Arabidopsis thaliana: one gene and its partners. The protein of the gene in region 4 interacts with the protein of the main gene of each other region in a pairwise test. Each region holds a gene or a part of one and is shown on either strand. Other genes may lie near its edges. The genes, in order: AT5G55100, AT5G38720, AT2G46250 and AT4G02720.

What was found.
Region 1: the proteins of AT4G02720 (region 4) and AT5G55100 interact in a two-hybrid assay, tested with the Arabidopsis thaliana proteins (one study listed by BioGRID).
Region 2: the proteins of AT4G02720 (region 4) and AT5G38720 interact in a two-hybrid assay, tested with the Arabidopsis thaliana proteins (one study listed by BioGRID).
Region 3: the proteins of AT4G02720 (region 4) and AT2G46250 interact in a two-hybrid assay, tested with the Arabidopsis thaliana proteins (one study listed by BioGRID).

What each region holds. Positions count from the first base shown.
Region 1 is NC_003076.8:22,360,529-22,366,745, forward strand, and holds AT5G55100 (SWAP (Suppressor-of-White-APricot)/surp domain-containing protein), read right to left. Parts: upstream 4,297-6,217; 5' UTR 4,137-4,296; coding exon 3,866-4,136; intron 3,708-3,865; coding exon 3,547-3,707; exon of another isoform or gene 3,099-3,546; coding exon 2,364-3,098; intron 2,241-2,363; coding exon 873-2,240; 3' UTR 769-872; coding exon of another isoform or gene 753-768; 3' UTR 588-752; downstream 1-587.
Region 2 is NC_003076.8:15,507,680-15,512,401, reverse strand, and holds AT5G38720 (ribosomal RNA-processing 7 protein), read left to right. Parts: upstream 1-1,977; 5' UTR 1,978-2,051; coding exon 2,052-2,151; intron 2,152-2,213; coding exon of another isoform or gene 2,214-2,234; coding exon 2,235-2,327; intron 2,328-2,425; coding exon 2,426-2,572; intron 2,573-2,660; coding exon 2,661-2,771; intron 2,772-3,080; coding exon 3,081-3,209; intron 3,210-3,334; coding exon 3,335-3,432; intron 3,433-3,525; coding exon 3,526-3,739; intron 3,740-3,899; coding exon 3,900-3,985; 3' UTR 3,986-4,206; downstream 4,207-4,722. Other genes in the region: AT5G38730 (Tetratricopeptide repeat (TPR)-like superfamily protein), read right to left, coding at 1-1,501.
Region 3 is NC_003071.7:18,989,143-18,993,952, forward strand, and holds AT2G46250 (myosin heavy chain-like protein), read left to right. Parts: upstream 1-2,028; 5' UTR 2,029-2,243; coding exon 2,244-2,534; intron 2,535-2,614; exon of another isoform or gene 2,615-2,810; coding exon of another isoform or gene 2,811-2,828; coding exon 2,829-2,945; intron 2,946-3,060; coding exon 3,061-4,059; 3' UTR 4,060-4,229; downstream 4,230-4,810. Other genes in the region: BAG6 (BCL-2-associated athanogene 6), read left to right, coding at 1-685.
Region 4 is NC_003075.7:1,203,521-1,207,877, reverse strand, and holds AT4G02720 (Ras-induced vulval development antagonist protein), read left to right. Parts: upstream 1-1,985; 5' UTR 1,986-2,064; coding exon 2,065-3,333; 3' UTR 3,334-3,789; downstream 3,790-4,357. Other genes in the region: WDR5b (Transducin/WD40 repeat-like superfamily protein), read right to left, coding at 1-119; AT4G02725 (spindle pole body-associated protein), read right to left, coding at 588-671, 884-1,025, 1,552-1,823.

The DNA of each region.
Region 1 (6,217 bases), on a different chromosome or scaffold from region 4:
AATAAATACCAAAAAAAAAAACAGAAAAGAAAGAGTTTACGATGGAAAAAGAAAGGTTACATCCAACAAAGCATTAGCCAATGAAATTGTAGAACATAGATAGAAAAGTCTAAAAAGATAGATTCGATCCCAAAAAGAAGTTTTATTGAATAATATTATTGCCTTTTCAATCGAGAAGAGAGGCTAAGTAAGGTTCGACCGATAAGGGTAAACTTCAAGTAAATGCACTATGAGTCAGTCTATGACATTGACAAACAATTTATATCTTCTTTGTAGAGTTTCTTTCTTTATTACGTCAACAAAGTGAAAAAAAAAACTCACTCTTATCTTCACCCTTACTTCCAAGCATCTCAAAAGACGTTTTTTACATAATAGCCAGATTTGTGCTGAACACTTTCGTCGATGAGCGGCACCATTTCAGAAGTTAAAGTACGTCGTACACCTTACGTGGGGATGATAATGATGTATGCAAAAAACGTCTCATAAGTGTGAATCAAGTTTCTTTTAGTAATATTGTAATGCAAATTGGCTACTAAATAAATTTCTATGATAAGGTCTGATGATTAACTGATTAACAAAAGCACAGATTTTTCTTTAAAAGGTTTATAGTTTGCAAATGCACAGATTAAAAAGGTTTCTTTAAAAGGTCTTTTTCAGAGTAATTTCGTAAATAGTTTGCAAAATACATTAAAATTTAATATTACAACTCTTCTTCTCGTAGGCAACATCGGTGACCTTTATGCTTCAGATGCTCACCGACCATCTCCCCTGAAAACCGAACAAACCCGCTAATCGATCAGACCCAATCATTGACATTGTCAACTTAATACTAGTAGACACCTAAATAGAACTAGAAAGTCTTCAAGAGTCGTTCAGTTAGAAGAAACGTACAAGGTATCAGCTAACATGGCACGGATTTTGGCTCTTAGCTCATCCGAAACTTGAGATGGTTCATTTTGCAGATACGGGATGTTATCTCCAGGAGATGCTTTAAGATCAGACTGATCTGACTTTGAAACAGTCTCCTCTTCCACTGTTTTCTCATCTTTCTTTATACGTTTACTAGACTTGTGACGATGACCATGCTCAACGTCTGAAGAGTCCTCGTGCTTGCGTCTACTGGATCTGTGTCGGTGGTGATGATGTTCATCATCAGATGAATCACGGTGCTTTTCATGCTTCCTGGATCTGTGATGATGGCTACGCTTGTCCTTAGAATAATCAACGTCTTTGCTATGCTTACTGGATCTGTGTCGGTGCTCACCCTCATTATCAGAAGAATCATAAAGCTCATGCCTATCTGAAGATTTGCTGTGTCTGTGTCTATGACGCGAACGACTGTGATACTCATCATCTGAGGAGCTCTCATGCTTGTGCTTGTCCCGAGAATGTCTGTCCTTGGAAGAGTATCGTGTCTTATGTTTATGCCGTTTTCTACTACATGAATGCTTCTTATCAGTCTTGGTTTCTTCTGTAACTTCGTCCATGCTGCTCTCTTCCTCTTCTCCTTGTTCCATCTTACCATCTTCATCTCTCTGTGATCTCGAACGGTAATTCCTCTTTGATCGTCTTTCACTGTTACCATCATCCGCTAGTTTTGACTCAGCTACATATGGAATCGAGCTACTGTCTCTTTCTTTGGCAGCCTTAGCACCTAATCCAGAAATCCCAGAGTCCAACGGTTCGACTGATATGCTTCGCGACGGTTCAGCTTGTTGAACTGGCTGCGCATCAGGTTTTAACTTGGCCACAAACATTTTTGCACGTTTCAATCTTTCTGCCTTCAACTTCTGCTCTTTAGACAAGCCTGCTTCAGAAGAATCAGCTTCACTAGCAGCAGTCGAGCCAGAGAGTGATTGACCTGTAGATTTGGCCAAATCAGGGGACTTAGATGAAGGGTAACTCACATCATTTCCAAGGGTCTGAGAAGTCTCATCCATGGGTTTGCCTGTTAGAATCCCCAACTGGGGATTCCTTATGCCTCTTCTAGCCGCTTGAAGAATAGCAGCAGCAGTATTCGCATCCACATTGACCCTCATCTGCGGTTGGACAGGCTTGAATGGTTCATTGTGCAACTCGACCTTTGGTTTGTCACTAACCATTTTTAGTTTCTCTTTCTTGGCAGAATCATCTGGTAAAACACTCCCAAACCCGTGTTTGCTATCTTTTACAGCATTGCCCATCTTCTCTTGCTTCACGTCTTCTTTTCTGATAATAACGCCTTTGTCACCTGATTTTAACTGCATATGAAATCAACCAACGTTTTACATTTTAGTGAAAGTTACAATCACAAGGTTTAAAAAGCACGTGAAAACACACCAAATTTGTAGCAGGAACATTTTAAGAACTTGAAACAGAATTACCTCTTCGGCTTCTTGGAGAACCTTCCGATAATATGCATGGTATAAGCTAGATGGACGTAAGAATGGAAACATCCCGTATTTCACATCCTGTGCAACAAGAGTAGCCTCTAGTTCTTTCCCGTTCTTTTGAATGAAGTCTACTATCTTATCAATCACTCTTTTCATCTCAGTAGTCGGCTCCACAATCTGCAGTTCAAGCTTGGGTTGCGACTTATCAGACGTCACAAGTTTTTCTGTATTGATCTGCTTCTTCTCTACAACATTTACTGCGCTGACAGAGGGATTTCTTTTTATGAAAGATGCATGATCATTCAACGGCAGAGAATGCTTAGAGGCAATCTTTGCAGCTCCTTTCGACCCTTCAGGTCCATTGGAATCAGTTACCTTAACACCATCATCACCTTTGGCGGACTCACTTGTTTTGGAGTCGTTTGCAGACTCTTCGTTAGCATCTTCATCTTCTACAGTCCCATAAACCGAACCAAGCAATGACAAAGCTCCACCATCCTTCTCACTTTCGTTCTTTTTCTCTTCTACAGAAGACTTTCCTGTCAAAAGCTCTTGATGGTCAACAAGAAACCTAAAGTAAAGGTGAAGATGATGGTCTGGCATTAGGAACCCAAATGTAGGGTTGTCTCCTTGTTTGACTCTCAAGACAATTTCAGATTGCCCACCGTGTTTGCTTACAAAACTTGAAGTCCTAGTGATAATCTGATGTAATTTCTCAGTTGGAGGCTGAAAGAAGAGAGAAAAAAAATATACAAGAAAAAATTAGTAATGTGAAATATGATGAATGACACCTTTGGCAACTCGCAGGTATATATACATAATAAAACCTCACATAAGTATCGAGAACCATAAATTGCAAAATTCAGAACTGTATAGAAATGCATCATCTGGTGTGCAATCAGTTTTAAGGTTCTTGGTAAGTCATGAATTTTTATCATCTTAATCCCACCTGCACTGCCCCTTGTCATGGCAGCAAAAGGAAACAAGGTGCATGTGAATGACAACCTTAGACAACTCCATCTCTTCTCCGAGCATCTGAAACTTAGACATAGTAGTCCTTAGAATAACAAATGCACCTTTCAGATGTTTACGTGGCCAATATCAGTTTAAGTACCAAATAAGTTAGCAAAAACTAGCATACTGCTAAAGGGAACAATCTAAAGCAATAACTTACCAGGTTTTGACGTAAGTAATCAGGCACGGGGAAAGGCGGGTGAAATCCAGATTCCATATCAGCAGCATTTTTCTGGTCATTGACATCACTAGAGCTTCCATATGAAAAAGAGACAGCACGATAACCATCCGCATTTGTATTTGCTGAATCCTCATTCATATCTGGAGAGTAAAGCAAATCCAAAGGGCAAACAAATTAAGTTTCGATCTGAATTTTTCGTAATCATTCTCTAGAACAGTTTTATGTCTCTAACATAGCTAGTTCGAGTCTCTCTACCATATAGATTAACGGAGATTTCTACGGAGTTCATCATCCTTACCGTGTTCATCATCATCCGACGGAGATGGAGATTCCGACGGTAAATCTAGATAACGCTCGTGATCGAGCTCCGATTCCAAGTCAGCATCGTTTGAATTCGGACGACGGCGTTTGATACGTGGAGGAGGAGGAGAAGAGAGGAGATGACGAACATCGTAGCGGTCAATAAAGAGGCTGTTCCAGTCAACGAGCGCCGTCGGAGAGTTGACAAACGTTGCCATCGAATCATCGTCGAAAAAGAGAGCGTGACGACCAACAATCTCTAGATCCATTGTGTGATTCTTCTAAAGCAATGGAGAATTGGGATTTGGGGAAGAGGCTAGGGTCTGTGTAATCCGTAATTTGGAACCGGATGTTCCAAATTCGTGATTGACCCAAAGATGTGATGACTTACAAAAGAGATCAAGTCGACTAAATGACGTCGTTTATAAGACTTTTTTACTTGCCGTTTGAAAAGTAATAAAACCACACGCATTTGGGAGAAAATAACTAACAACGACGTGCATTCTTTATGTTTTTGCGTTTTCAACCCTGCTTAAGAAAGTTTATATTTTTTCCCCATAACCTTAACTTTAATAAATGTAAGCCACCCTAAGAGTGAAAAAGCAGTGAAATCTCCAAATTTAAAGTGCTTCAACATTTGTGATTTCATTGGAGAATTTTGCTCAATCTAGTATCTGCCTCGTCTTGATGTGACGGTTATCCACATTGAGTTTTTACTTTGATGAAAATATTATGAGCTCTCTTTCTTTCTTTTTTAGGTAACTTATGAACCCTCTTTCTTTGTCAGGGCTTTCAAGCTATCTCCTCATGATACAATGGTTAAGTGATTTAATATTCTCTCTATATAATTTTTGTAATTTTATGCATCTATCTAACCATGTTTGAACAACCTGTATGGCACATTGTTTTCAAAAGTTTCGAAAGCAATTACTCTGTAGAAATAATACTAATTAAACTAACGTTATCTAATTAAACTAACGTTAATGTAAAACGACTTTGCGTGTGGCTTAATAGTTAATGCAACAGAAAGATATCGTAGAGAAACAATAAGATTATCGTATAGGTCGGAAAATGACCAATAAGCAACAAGGGAATGGTTTTGACTTTTTTGACGTAAAGTTTATACATTGTTTAACAAATTGGAGGAAAGCGTTGACCTCTCTCTATTGCTTTCTTCAACACCGTATATAATATTTGTGCCTTGTGGACGTCTTTGACTGGTTTATTCAAGAATTTTCTTCGATAGTTCGATCGTTGGTGTATAGAGCTATATTAGTGTAAGCTACTATAGGGACATTCAAATTTTATATAACTGTTTCAAAAACTAAATATAGATTGTACACATTTATGCAAAAACATACATTTAACAAAGCAAGTTGTATTAGTTTAATTAATGGTCATCATCGTACTAATGGACATCATAATTCGGATTCCATTACACATATTTATATCAGGAATCACGGGTTTGTTTGTAACTTAAAATAAAGTGGAAAGATCTATATACCTTGTATTTTCATTTGTAATGTGAGATATTCATTGTCTCGGACATATCACTACAAAACGGACTATATACATTGGCGGACGCAAGTGTATAAGTACTGGGGCACGTGCCCCATGCAAGATTTGATAATTTTGAAGTTTGTTGTGCAATTTGTATTGTAGATGAAAGAATTCGTTTGTTGTGCCCCATGTTAGAGTGACTTTTTTTCTAGTCAGTTGGTTATTACTCATTAATTTTACTATTTTCAAGTAATAAATGTTTTCAGTATTTAACTTATTTTTACTTTATTTATCTTTTTCTATAACTGTTTGAAGGAATTATGCTAATATAAGGTACTGCCAATGTTGATTGACACTTCAAAAAATTTTCTTCCATTTACATGTCTTTTAAGAAATGTTCATATTGTACTTTATTTTAAAAATTTATAAATATGTTGTGCCTCGGGTTAATTATGGTTCTAGATCCGCCACTGACTATATATGTATACTATGAGAAATCATATGTCGGGTAATTATACTTGGAACTATGGTACCATATTAGAAGATTAGAGATAGAATGAAAAAAAGAGTTGAATTACTCCATGGAAAAGACTAAAGAGAACGGAGTTGTACATCATTTATGTAAGAGATTGTCTGATATGAACAGAAGACTAGTGACGATGGAAGGAACTTAGCCTTACAAAGCTTGCTCATGTGTTTCTAAAGTAAAAACTTTTATTTATTGACTTATATAGATTATTTTCATATTATTCTATTGTTACAAGTTACAATGTAAAAATGGCCTTTCATATATTAAATTATATAATCGTGGTTGATTGGGCGTATGCGGATCGAGAACTTTAGAATTCAA
Region 2 (4,722 bases), on a different chromosome or scaffold from region 4:
CGTAATCCACCTGTTCTAACTTACAAATCCTTCTTATTAATCCTCTGTATAGAGCAACATCAGCACAAAGACCTCTTTTTTCAAACTCCTCTAGGAGTTTTGTGATTTCGTCTTGCTTGTTCTGGTTATAGAATCCATCCACGAGCCAAGAATAGGTCGCATATCCAGGAGAGAAGCCTTTCTCTATCATAGAGAACAGTTCCTCCTTTGCATTTTCCAGTTCCAACACTTTACAAAACCCATGAATCAATGCTTTGTATGAATACATATCCAGTTTTAGCCCTGATTCAATCATCTTCTTCTTGACCTTCACTGCAGATACCATGTCTTCGATTTTGCAATATGCGTTGATCAAAGTATTGCAGGTGATATTATCAGGTTCAATCTTTTTTCCACTCATCTCAGTCAAAAGCCGGTTAGCTTCTCTTATTCTTCCATCTTCACATAACTTACGCAAAATCGAATTATATGTCACAACTCCAGGAGAAAACCCTCTTGACTCCATTACCTCACGTAACCTCAAAGCTTCATCAATATCATTCATTCTACAATATCCATCAATCAAAGTAGTATAAGTAACATGATTCGCTGTAACATCGTCTTTAATCTCCCGAAACAGTCTTGTGGCCTCTCTCATTCTACCTTCTCTACTAAACCCATGTATGAATGAATTATAAGTGACAATATTAGGAGCAACACCACTTCTCTCCATCCTATCTTGCACAGATAAAGCCTCGAAATGCATACTCTTTTTGCAGTACACAGAGATCAACGTGTTATAGGTAAAGATATCAGGAAACACACCTTTTTCTTCCATCTCACTCAACAATTTCTCAGCTTTCTCGGGATCACCAGACTTAGAACAAGCATGAACCAATACATTATACACATGAATGTTAGCAACAACACCTAACTTAACCATCTTCTTGAATATCTTCCAAACAGTATCAGTCAATCTCTGCTTCACCAGACTATTTAGTAACACAGTACAAGCTTGCAAATGAGGCTTCAATCCACAACTCCTAATCTGCTCAAACACCACAATCGAATCGTTGATCATCCCGGCTTTAGCGTAATATATCATCAACCAGCTAAAGACGTGAGATACATCTTCTGGGTCTTCAGAAACACCACCAACTAAAGATCTCAAAACCAGAGGAGATGACAAAAGCTCTCTCTGAGCCAATTTATCGAGCAGTTGGTGTGCAGTTTTGAAATGCTTGTGTTTTGTGAGAATCAAAATCATTTTCCATGATGATTGTAAACTATGTTTGCTACTTGGTAAAGAATCGGTCCAGATAAAGAAACTCCATGAAAGAGAAGGTCCACCATAACCAGAAAACAGAGAAAGCTCAGAGATTACCTGAGTGGTTATCGCTGATTTCAATAACCCAGAATCAACTTTGTGTTTCAGAATATTTTTCCAGTTTCCTTTCAATACTGTTGCACAGATGCTTTGTGCAATCAAAGCTTCTCGATTTGCTGACAACAAATTCACCATTGTTGTTCCTCAAGTGTTGTAGGAGTAACAGAGAAGAGCAACGGCGATAAAGAGAAGGCCTAAACCGGTTTGAATTTCTCCAGTAGATGAACCAGACCAGATTATTTACCAATTAACCGATAAAGGACTGAATTCAAAACCGGAAGCGAATCGATTGTTTTGGAATATCCGGGAAACGGCCCGAGAGAAAATACGTAATAAATCGAACTGAACCCAATTTTAGACCGGTTTAGTCAAGAATACGTATATGTCCTCTCGTGTTGCTGATATTAACAACTTTACCCTTGTATCTGTTTCAGTCCAAAACCTCACAAAAAGCAAAAACCCTAATTTACATGGTCGTGGCCTGACTAATCCCTAATTTTTCCGAGAGCGTCGACGCCGACAATCGCCGACAGAGTTTTTGCTTCTCACGCGATAGAAAGAAGATGAAGGAGACGAGAAAGCTGAAGAAGAGTAATCTCCCTAAAGGTAGGCCTAATTTTCTCGCGTTTATATTCTTACTTAATTGATTTATGAGGTTTCATTACAGAACCGAAAAGACCTAACTATGGTTGTTGTGTATACTAAGATTGTGTTCTTAGAGGTAACTTATTTGATTTCGAAAGTTGAGAGCTTTAATTGGAATGGCCTTGAACTTAATTACAAAGGTTAATCTTGTGAAGCAGAAGAAGTAAATTGCTTATGCAAATTATTGTTTGTCTAATTGAAGTGACGGATAAAATCAATGCAGAAGAAACTGTTGGGAAAAAAATTCAGAGGAAGAAGAATGAGAAAGTGAGCAATGTCGAATTAAGCGAGGATCCTCAGGCTGCACAGCTTCAAGGTGAAAGTTTTGGCTTTGATGGATTTAGAAGTGTTTTATAGTGTTTTAAGATGTGTTATGATGTTGAGTATAGTATCTTGTTTATTATTCCTTACCAGCTAAATCAAGTGAGAAACCCAATAGAAAGAAGATTCAGAAGGGTAAGGAAATAAAAAGCTCTCCAGCTGATGGTAAGCTGAGTGGGAAGATGAAGAAGAGAAAAGAGAAAGTAGGCAATGTTGATATAAGCGAACCGATTCTGGAAGGTGAATTCTTTTGTTTTTGGCAGATGAAATCTATTACTGAGCTGTTAGATTCTGGTATTGAGTTTAGTATCTCTGGTTCTTGTTACAGCTATTTCAACTGAGAAAGTAAAAGAAAAGAAGGGCAAAATGAACAAGACTAAGAAGAAAAGGAAGGCCGAGGAAATAACTAGATCTTCAGTCGAAGATCTGAAAAGAGAAAGTGAGTAGTTCATTACCATGTTTTGGTTGTCTTATGTTAGTTCTCTGAATCATTTGCATGAGGAACTTTAGCTAGTTTTAAGTCTTTATATAATATTTTCTTTGAGCAGAATGTGAACTTTACTGTCTATCTAACTCTGAATCTGTGGTTCTTATGAATGTTATTTATGTTTGACATGGCTGTAATGGAACTGAAATAAGAAACCGGTAGTTCAGAGCTGGTTTAATGAAGTAGATTGTTTTTTGTAGGCGAGTCTAAGGACTTCAGAACTCCATCATCTTGTTCAATAAAGTAAATTTTTTCTTGTAGGCAAGTTTAAGAAATCAAATAAGAAGAAAAAGATGGACATGACCTCTAAGAAAGAGAACAAAATTGAAGAGGAGGAAGATGTTTATCAAATTTCTTCAGGCGATGAGGATTGCACAAGGGGAATGAAAAGTATGGATGAAACAAAAATGATTACTGTTTCTTCCATTATTAGCTAGCTGCATATGATTAGATAAGCATGAACACTCTTGAAACTGTTTCTTCCTTAATTTGATAAGTCCTCTTTTAAACTGCAGAGTGGGTTAGTGATTACTATGAGGGTAGACCTGGTTTAGACGAGCTCCAAAAGAGAATCGATGACTTCATGACTGCTCATGAAGAACGCCTTGAACAGGTTCTTCTCGTCATCCTATATTTTGAAGTGTTCATGTCTATTGTCTAAGTGACTATCGTGTTTTTGTCTAATGTTGTCATGTGTGTTGAACAGGAGAAACAAGACAAAGAAGCTAAAGCTGCAGAAGGTGGATGGACTGTGGTCGTGCATCACAAAGGAAGGAAAAAGACAACAGAATCTGAAACCGGAACAGCCGTTGGATCTTTTTCTCAGGCTGCTTTGGAGGATAAGATCGCTAAAAAGAAACAGAGTGAGCCTGTCGCTCATGGTTTCTACCGTTTCCAAAGGCGAGATGCACAACGCAATGGTAAGCCCTGGCTTTTCTATATCCTCAAACGTGTTTTGTGTCAGTTTTGGCTCGGGTCGGTTTTTATATGCAGCCCTAGTCACACAAGTGGCCCTTCAATTTGTCTGCCCTGATTCTGATGAATTGATTCTTGGTTTTGTGTTTTATTGTTTGTGGACAGAACTCTTGGCGCTTCAGAGTAAGTTCGAGGAAGACAAGAAGAGGATACAACAACTTCGAGCTGCTCGTAGGTTTAAGCCTTTCTAAGGAAGAACACATTCTGCTTGAAAAAACATGAGCTTTGTGGGTTCAGACTCTGATTAAGCTCATGAGCAATATCATGAATGTGTTTTATGATCAAATTTTGTAATTGACCATTTCAGGCTGATAAACAAAAAGAAATATAATTTTTTTTCCCTTGGAACATTAGATTGAATCAAAATCCATTCAAATATATTGAATGATATAGTATATAAGATAACAAAGGAGGCACTCTAATTTAATATTTTTGTAGAGAAATGCCAATTTAAAGGTTCTGAAAATTACCAAGATCGACACAAATATACAAATTAATAACTAGATTAACACCCTAATTTTGTAGTTAACTAGAATGACACAAATCTAATAATACTAAATCAACAGTCATTTTAGCAAAAACTGATGCATTCTCTGATTGACACATCAGCTTAGTACCAATTTTTTACTCTTTCATTTTCACGAAAGATTTTGCTAATTCATTTTTTAATTAATAAAATTGGAAAAAATATCTTGTGTACTTTTTATAAAACTTTTTTTTTTATTTCTCAAAACCCTTTTCTTCTTCATCTCCACGATCTCCACGATCTCCACCTCTTCCACTTCTTCTCCTCCAAACTTCCGATGACTATTTATATCTATAAAAAAATAGTCTTCCCATCAACAGTAATCGATTGCTCTTAGAAATCAGTTAATCTTTTCTTTACTGAAGGTATCAATTTACCATCTCCATCTCCGATTTCAGTTTT
Region 3 (4,810 bases), on a different chromosome or scaffold from region 4:
GGAGCCAATAAACGAATTGCCGCAAATGGTGGAAGAGACTGAAACAAACTCCATACGGGACCCGGAGAATGCTAGTGAAGTCTCTGAAGCCGAAACCAACTCATCAGAAAATGAAAACCGAAAAGGAGAAGATGATATTGTATTGCATTCAGAAAAAAATGTCGAGCTCTCAGAGCTACCTGTTGGAGTGATTGACGAGGAAACACAGCCTCTTTCGCAAGATCCATCGTCATCATATACTCGTGAAGGGAATATGACTGCAATGGACCCTAAAACAGCGAGCCAGGAGGAAACAGAAGTTGATCACTCACCCAACAACTCCAAAGGCATTGGCCAACAGACTTCTGAGCCACAAGATGAAAAAGAACAGTCTCCAGAGACCGAAGTCATTGTGAAAGAACAGCCTCTAGAGACAGAAGTTATTTTGAACGAACAGGCTCCGGAACCGGAAATCACTGAACCTGGGATATCAAAAGAAACCAAAAAGCTGATGGAGGAGAACCAGCGATTCAAGGAAACGATGGAGACGTTGGTTAAGGCAGGCAGAGAACAACTAGAAGTCATATCGAAATTAACCAGTCGGGTCAAAAGCCTTGAGAAGAAACTGTCACATAAGAAAAAGACACAGATCAGACGTCGTGCAAGCAAACCAATGTCCGTAAGTCCAACCGATGCCGTATTATGACCCCCATAAACATTGATATGTCTCAATTCCTCATATATTGTATCCATCTCCATCCTATTGAGTACAGAAAAGAGAACGAGAACTCAAAAATTGTCTTAACGAAAATCCAAATATTTGCCTCTCTGTTTTCTTCGACGTTCATGGATAACCTCCTTAAACGACCCATTCGCTCTGACAGATTCGACTAAATTTTGTGTCAAGGCCCAATATATAACTATATAAGGCCCATACAATGATCAACCCATTAGTTATTTCAAATGTTTTTATTATTTATTTCAAATTTTTGCTATAGGTGTAAATTTCATGTATTATTACTTTAATTACATTTAAAATTTGTATCTTTCAAATTTGTTATGGGAGAAAGAAAGAGAATGATTGTGTGGTTTGTGCGGACATAGTGATCCTTTTCATGCCATAACTCACTCTTCGTTTTCTTCTTTCTCATCGTCACGTTAGGTTGTCTCTGAGCCGCCAAATATTCATCTCTTGTGGTCCCGTTCACGTCCCAACGCCATTTACACTCATCTCCGTAACCTCTCTCTTATGTGCTTTCTCATTACAAACAACTAAAATTCTCAAAGATTAACATGTGCAAGAGAAATAACAAGTAATGATATGATCTCATTCTCACCTAATCTATGGTTGAAAAAAAGGAAATGGTGTCAGTATTAGTCATAATAAAGCCTTGGAGTTGTAGACTATAGCATGAAAGGACCAGGAATCTTCAAGCATGGTTATTTTCTGATACGAATGATTTATATTTTAATCGTTTATTAACACCCATTTAACCTCATAATGACTCTATTAGCCTACTCTCAATCCCCAAATTTACTAGCATAATTAACTAATTCAAGGGATTATCTTCACCCACTTGTGTGCATCCATCAAAAGTTAATTTCTTATCTTAGAAATACATTTCATCTAAACCAAACAAATGATATACACTCTCATTTCTATTCATTAGTGTCATTTCTACAATTGTAGCAGTATGTTAACTACTGTAACTATTGTGATCCAAATATACAGTAAAAGGTTGCACCTCTACTGTAACTATTTTAACAAGTTCGCAAAATGTACATAGGAGAAATAGGTTGATTTCCATGGAGAAAAGAAAATAGTAAAAGGTGAAAAAGGTTCACTCACACGCATCCTCTGTCTCTGAGAGATATATTTCCCCTTGCAGTAAATAAAAATCTATGGCTTTGTTGGGAAGAAGAAAAAGTCAGAGTAAACTCGTAATCTTTGTCGGGAGAGAGTAACAGGCTTTTGATGTTGTAACATTATACTACTATTGTTTTAAAAAGCAAAGAATTGTAGTAGTAAGAATTACAATCATACTTAACAACAAATCACGTTTTTCGGGTTTTTGTATAAATAAATGATAAAGCAAGATGGACAAATTTTAAGGATAAGCCATTAATAAGTGATCTGTGAATTTTTAAGGAAAAGACGAAAGAAACAGAGAGAGTCGAGACACAACTGTCTCCAAGAAGACAACCTTCCACAGCTTAAGGGAAACAGAGGTGGAAACAGAGGTGAAAACAGAGCGAGTAAAGAGATGGAGAGAGAGTGTGAAGAAGGAGAAATGGAGAAAAAGCTGAGACGAAGTTTCATGGGCTATACTAGGAGAGCTGGTCCTTCCACTCCTCCACCCACCTGGCGGCTCGAGTTTTCGCCGCCACGAGTCGGAGCGACCAAGGAGTTTTTGGCGAATTCGGAGGACTCTGTCCGGAAATTGTGTGCTGATTTGTGGGAAACTGAACAATTCCGGCAAAGAATTGAGCTGCGACGGTGTCGACGAAGGGATTCAGATGTGGAATCGCATTCCCGTAGCCCGCTTCACGATCATGTAAACAATTTTGGCGCTTTTGATTTGCTTGAATGTTTTTGACGGGTTTATGTAGGGTTTTAGTCTTCTTGTTTTGATAGGTCGTAAAGTTGTGATCTTTACGGTGAGGTTAGAGTATATTCGACCGGAAAAAATCTCATTTTTGCGCAAATTCCACCGAGAAAATCTCAAAGTATTGTTCTTTATGATGTGGTCTTTTGCTCGTCTATGCACAAATTTCATTGGACAAATCTCATGGTCGTAAAGTTGGCTCGTAAGTGTGTTTAGTATTTATATATGAGTTTTAATTTGCAGCCACCAAGCAGAGCTAGCTTGAGGAGGCAAATTGCAGCAACTGATGATTATAGAAATGGTGATCTGTTGCAACCTATCTCTCCTGCAAGTTGCAGCAGCAGCAGCAGTTCATTGCAGGTGAAGAAAACAAAGTTTTTTGCTCTTTGTTCACTCTTAAATTTAACCAAGGAATGCTTTTTAACAATCTTGTTTTGAGCTGGATTTGGTGTGTGTTGGCTTAATGTGCTTGTAGGTTGTGGTGCGTAAGCCAGCGTTTAGTCAGACAGGTTCTTCGGCGGTTAAGTCTGCAAGCTATGGTTTGGGTTCCTCTACAAAGCTTCTCAAGGTGCTAAACCGGATATGGAGTCTCGAAGAACAGAATACTGCTAATATGTCTTTGGTTAGAGCTTTAAAGATGGAGTTGGATGAATGTAGAGCCGAGATTAAGGAGGTTCAGCAACGGAAGAAGCTAAGCGATAGGCCACTGAGGAAGAAAAAAGAAGAAGAAGAGGTAAAAGATGTGTTTCGATCCATAAAGAGGGAGTTAGATGATGAGAGAAAAGTTAGAAAGGAGTCAGAGACTTTGCACCGGAAGCTAACACGAGAGCTTTGTGAAGCGAAGCATTGTTTGTCCAAAGCTTTGAAAGACCTTGAAAAGGAGACACAGGAACGTGTTGTTGTGGAAAATCTCTGCGATGAGTTTGCAAAAGCGGTGAAAGATTATGAAGATAAGGTGAGAAGAATTGGCAAAAAGTCACCGGTGAGTGATAAAGTAATTGTGCAGATTGCAGAAGTGTGGAGTGACCAGAGATTACAAATGAAGCTAGAGGAAGATGATAAAACATTTCTTCTGCGAGCTAAGGAGAAGAGTAGATCACAGTCAAGTAAAGGAAGTGGCTTGAGAGCAAAACCAGATGATTCGGTATCTATGCATCAAAGGGTTTGCCTGAAGGAACTCGAAGAAGGGCTTGAAAAGCGAACAAGAAGAGATAACAAACTGCAGCTTAAGAAGAGCTCAGGCCAAGTTCTTAATCTATCTATGTCTTCGGAAGGAGATAAGATTCATCCAGAGAGTAGTCCAAGGAACGTTGATGATCATGAGAGTCAAGAAAAGTCTAGAACTTTCTCGAAGAATCATCCGAGAAATGTGAATGTGATGATCAGGGAAGATAATCATCGTACTCTCAAGGATAAGCTGATGGAAGCTCGTGTAGAAAGTCGACGTTTACGTTCTTCTTTGAAACCAGAGTGATAATTCCGGTTCGAGCAAATAATTAACTCGTGTCTTCTCATGTATGTTGGATTAATTATTTGGTTGTGGTTAATATTAATGCTCGTTAGTCGTTAAAAAAACTAAATATTTTAATTGTCCCAGTGACAGAAACCAATTTCACATGAAAAAAGGAAAAAGCTAATTTTGTCAACAGTTCACATATATTGACATTGAACACAACTCCGGTTCGACAAAAAAAAAGAACACAACTCCGGTCAACTATTTTTGGCAGTTGTAATTAAGAACAAAAAGATGTAACTTAAAGAAGAGACAATTTAACCGATTAGTTCAAATCTTTGGTCATCAAAAATTCCACAAGTTTTAAGAAGACTGATTGGTGATTAATAAACGTTAAAAAAAAAAAAAAAGCCAAGTCAAAGATGTGTCGGTAATAGCGATTGACCAAACTCTATCTGTTTTAGAGCATCATTAATGGTAGTTTCTTAGCATAATTTTAATATAGTTTTTATGAATATTTTTATAATTGATTTTGAAAATTCTGAAGTTAAAAACTTGGTTAAGAGATTGAAATTTAGGCAATATGCAATGGTGGAATCTTAACTTGGAGTTCTTAAAAAGAAAATTTGAAAAAAAAAATAGAAACATTATAATTTTAAAAAACTTAATAGTTATTACAACTCATAAAATTTAAAACATACATGACATAAAATTTTAAACAAATATGACAAACAATTCTATTTAATACTTAAGTTATCTAAAAATTAAGATT
Region 4 (4,357 bases):
TCTAGGGTTTTCAGGTGACGGTATGGCTTATATATCGGAACGTTTCCGCTTGTTCCTGCGTTACCGGTGGAATTCGCGTTAGCGACTCCGTTACTTGTTCCGTTACCACCGCTTGGCATCGTCGTCTCTCGTCGGATTTAGCAGAGTGGAGATGATCTCAATGAATCTCTCACCGTTACATATATATACATTCCGTTGACCATGACCTCTTGGGAATTACATTTTTACCCTTCATTCCTCATTTCTCGTATTGGTGGTTCTTCGGCTCGGTTCGGTTCGATTTGAATTTGTCGATTTTGTTGAACTAAAATTGGTCCGGTTCGTTTGGTTTATTTAGTTCGAAGGCACTTTATTCGGTTGGTTTCAGTAATGAGGTTTCGGTATATTTGGGTTAATTTCGGTTTGTATAATCGGTTCAATTCGATTTTAATGCCCACTACATTAGAGGACTCTGAAATCAAGATTTATGTATCCAAACATCTGTGAATGAAATTGAGATAAATCCATAGATGATGGTTATATTATACACACAACAGAAGGGAAGATTTATGCAAGAAACGAATGTAATTTTGAACATTGAGAAGATCCTATGAAGGCTTGTTTTTGCCGTAAATATCTTCAAAACCATCAGCTACTCGTTTCCTTCTTTCAGCAATCATTTCTGAATACGACTGAACCAAAGTACACGAAAAAACCACCAGAATCTCAAAGACAAGACCAAAGTAAAGTCTTGTTCACTAAGATTATAGAAACTAGCATTGTCTGAAGATGTTTAAACAGGATTTTTACTTTAACTTAGACTTAGTAAATTAGAGCTACGAACATTTCTTTAGTAAGGGAATGAAAAGGAGAGGTTGTTAGATGATGGAAGGGAAAATCATACCTTTGGGTAGCTATAAAGGAATATGTACCACCAAGCACCAATTACACCAACCGCAAGCGATGAAACTATGACCGAGTGTAGTATTACCCAGCTACATGCCACTATTGATAGACCCGTTAACATTATCGTCCATGGCTGACACCTGAGAAACATAGCCAGTTGCTTATTCAAAACCATACGGAAGAACACTAGGCCCTGAAAACGTCTAAGAAGAACCGTAAAGTTCTTGATTGCAAATACACACCAGATCAATAGATATTCAAAGCTGTAGATGCTGAGGTCGAAATGTTAAACCCTTCTTAACCCAATTACCATTACATAATCTGTATTTTGGTTCTTCACTATCTTCCTAACCAAAAGATTCAAACTTTTTCTTTCTATCTTCTAAACCACAACACACAATCATGAAACTGTAATGGGGTAAGTCTTGTTTTAAGTAGCATCAATAAATATATAGCTTCATATATGATTCAAAAAAGTTCTTGGGCAGGCATAAATCACTGAAAATGCTAATAAAGATTAAGGATTGGTCCACTTAAAAGTGAACTTAAGACTCTATCTAAGCTATAATCCCATATTCACAACCAACAAATACGATTCCTCATAAGTCTTAGGACCAAATCCAAACTACTTGAAATAAAATTGTTGGGAACTTAAATGAGATTTACCAAGAGGGTTTAGTGTCCCAAACAGAGTCGTATTCGAGAGAGAGATTGTCTAAGAAACCTTCCATGTCATCAACTACGCCTTTTTCATCGACAAATCTTGAATCCTTCGGCTCTCTCCGATTCCCACCAAAACTTCTAACTTTCGTACTAATCCTTATTGGTTTGAGATTGAACGAGTGTAAGTTCGTTCGGAAACTGAGTTTTGAAAGAAGATTCTCTGTTTGAGGCCGAAACGGCGACAGAGACACGGCGGACATGGAGAGACTTGCCATCTGAAGACGACGATAAGGATAGAGGACTCGATTGACTCTAATTAAAATGTGGGGTGCTTTGTGTAAAATCAAAACATGATTTTCAGTGGTGAATAATGATAAATATTGGGCCTATTCGTTAAGGGCCCAATAAGTAAAAAGGCGCAGATACTGTATATGAATCAAAGCCCTAATTTATCAGACAGCTGCTTAGATTTTGTTTTCTTCATTGTCGTCGTCGGAGTGAATTAGGGATTCGAGAATGACGATGAACTCGCTTCCGAGGAGATTTGGGAAGAATCATGGCTATTTGGATCGAGATTATCGAAACGGAAGACGATCTGGTTCAGATTCCGATGAAGAATTGAAGGGATTGAGTCACGAAGAGTATAGGAGGCAGAAACGGCTTAAGATGAGGAAATCAGCCAAGTTCTGCTTTTGGGAGAACACACCGAGTCCACCTAGAGATCAGAACGAGGATTCCGATGAGAACGCCGACGAGATTCAGGACAAGAACGGCGGCGAAAGAGATGATAATTCGAAAGGGAAAGAAAGGAAAGGTAAATCTGACTCGGAATCTGAATCTGATGGTTTGAGATCTAGGAAGAGGAAGAGTAAGAGCTCGAGGTCTAAGCGCAGGAGAAAGAGATCTTATGACAGCGATAGTGAATCCGAAGGGAGTGAGAGTGATTCGGAAGAGGAAGATAGGAGACGAAGGAGGAAGAGTTCTTCTAAGAGGAAGAAGAGTAGAAGCAGCCGTAGTTTTAGGAAAAAGCGAAGTCATAGGAGAAAGACGAAATACAGTGACTCTGATGAGAGCAGCGATGAAGATAGTAAAGCTGAGATTAGTGCTTCTTCGTCTGGGGAGGAAGAAGATACCAAGTCAAAGAGCAAGAGGCGGAAGAAATCTTCGGATTCTAGTTCAAAACGAAGCAAGGGAGAGAAGACGAAGTCAGGGAGTGACAGCGATGGTACTGAGGAAGATTCGAAGATGCAAGTAGACGAAACGGTGAAGAACACTGAGCTAGAACTTGATGAAGAAGAGTTGAAGAAGTTCAAAGAGATGATTGAATTAAAGAAGAAATCTTCAGCTGTTGATGAAGAGGAAGAAGAAGGTGATGTTGGTCCAATGCCATTACCTAAAGCTGAAGGTCACATCAGTTATGGTGGTGCTTTAAGACCCGGTGAAGGAGACGCCATTGCACAGTATGTTCAGCAAGGTAAACGTATCCCACGTAGAGGAGAAGTGGGTCTTAACGCTGAAGAGATTCAGAAGTTTGAGGATCTTGGTTATGTGATGAGTGGAAGTAGGCATCAAAGGATGAATGCTATTCGTATTAGAAAAGAAAACCAGGTTTACAGTGCTGAAGACAAACGGGCATTGGCCATGTTTAACTACGAGGAGAAGGCGAAGCGCGAGGCTAAGGTTATGTCTGATCTGCAGCGGCTTGTGCAGCGCCATATGGGAGAAGAGGTGGGGCCAAATCATGACCCTTTCGGTGCTGGAAAGACTGAAGAAGATGATGATTGATTTTGCTTGGCTTCCTGCTTCTGTTATGTGGGTACTCATCTTATGCTTTATCTTGTTGAATGTTCCTTATTTGCATCATAGATACTGCTGTTTGCTACTTGCCCGTTAATGAGCTTCGTAGTTTATGCTTTAATCTGCTATGTATCCGTTAATGAGCTTCATAGTTTATGCGTTAATCTGCTATGTATCACATGATTGTGTTTGTGTGTCAAAGATAATAGATTCTGACACTGAGGATCTGCAACCGTTCTTGTGCATTTACCTTAGGTCATGTTCGATGATTGAATTTTGCAGGGCATTCACTTAGTTCTGAGATTGTAGAACAATCAATTATTTAGGATATCCGCTTTGAGCCCACCACTGTATTTTCGAATAATGTCCTTTAATGAGCTTCACAGATTATGCATTCCTCCCTCTGTATTCATATCATTGCGTTTGTCTGTTAAGAATCCAGTCATATCATCATCAATGTTATCATTGTCACCATTATTATCATCATTCTATTTTTAGAACTGTGAAACAAAACAAGTACTTATATATATTATTGGGGATCTCTATAATTGTGAAGTGCAATAATTTCGGAATTTGGAGGCAGATAAAATTTGCAATAATATCCGAATTTGCAGGCAGATCATATTATTGGTAAATTACCTGCAAGGGTTCCAATTATAGTTTATGATTCCACTTTTGTGGAACTATACAATGTCTGAATCTGTTCTCAATAAATGCACTATCTCAATAGAAGACCCTACCAAGTACCTAGTCCATAATCTATTATTCGTTTCATAAATAATAACATATAAATCATTCAAAGAAGCAAAATGATTTTGGTTAAGAATTGAATGACAAAGAAAACGACATCTGTTCAATTTAGAGGAGATTAGCATTTTCGTATTACTATTCAAAGCTTAAAAATAGTATTTAAAAACAAAAAAATTATCAAAGAAATGTCATGTAAAGGTCCTCTTCTCATGCACGAAACGAATGATAATTAAATTAATTTATGAGCAAGACGCTTAAGTGA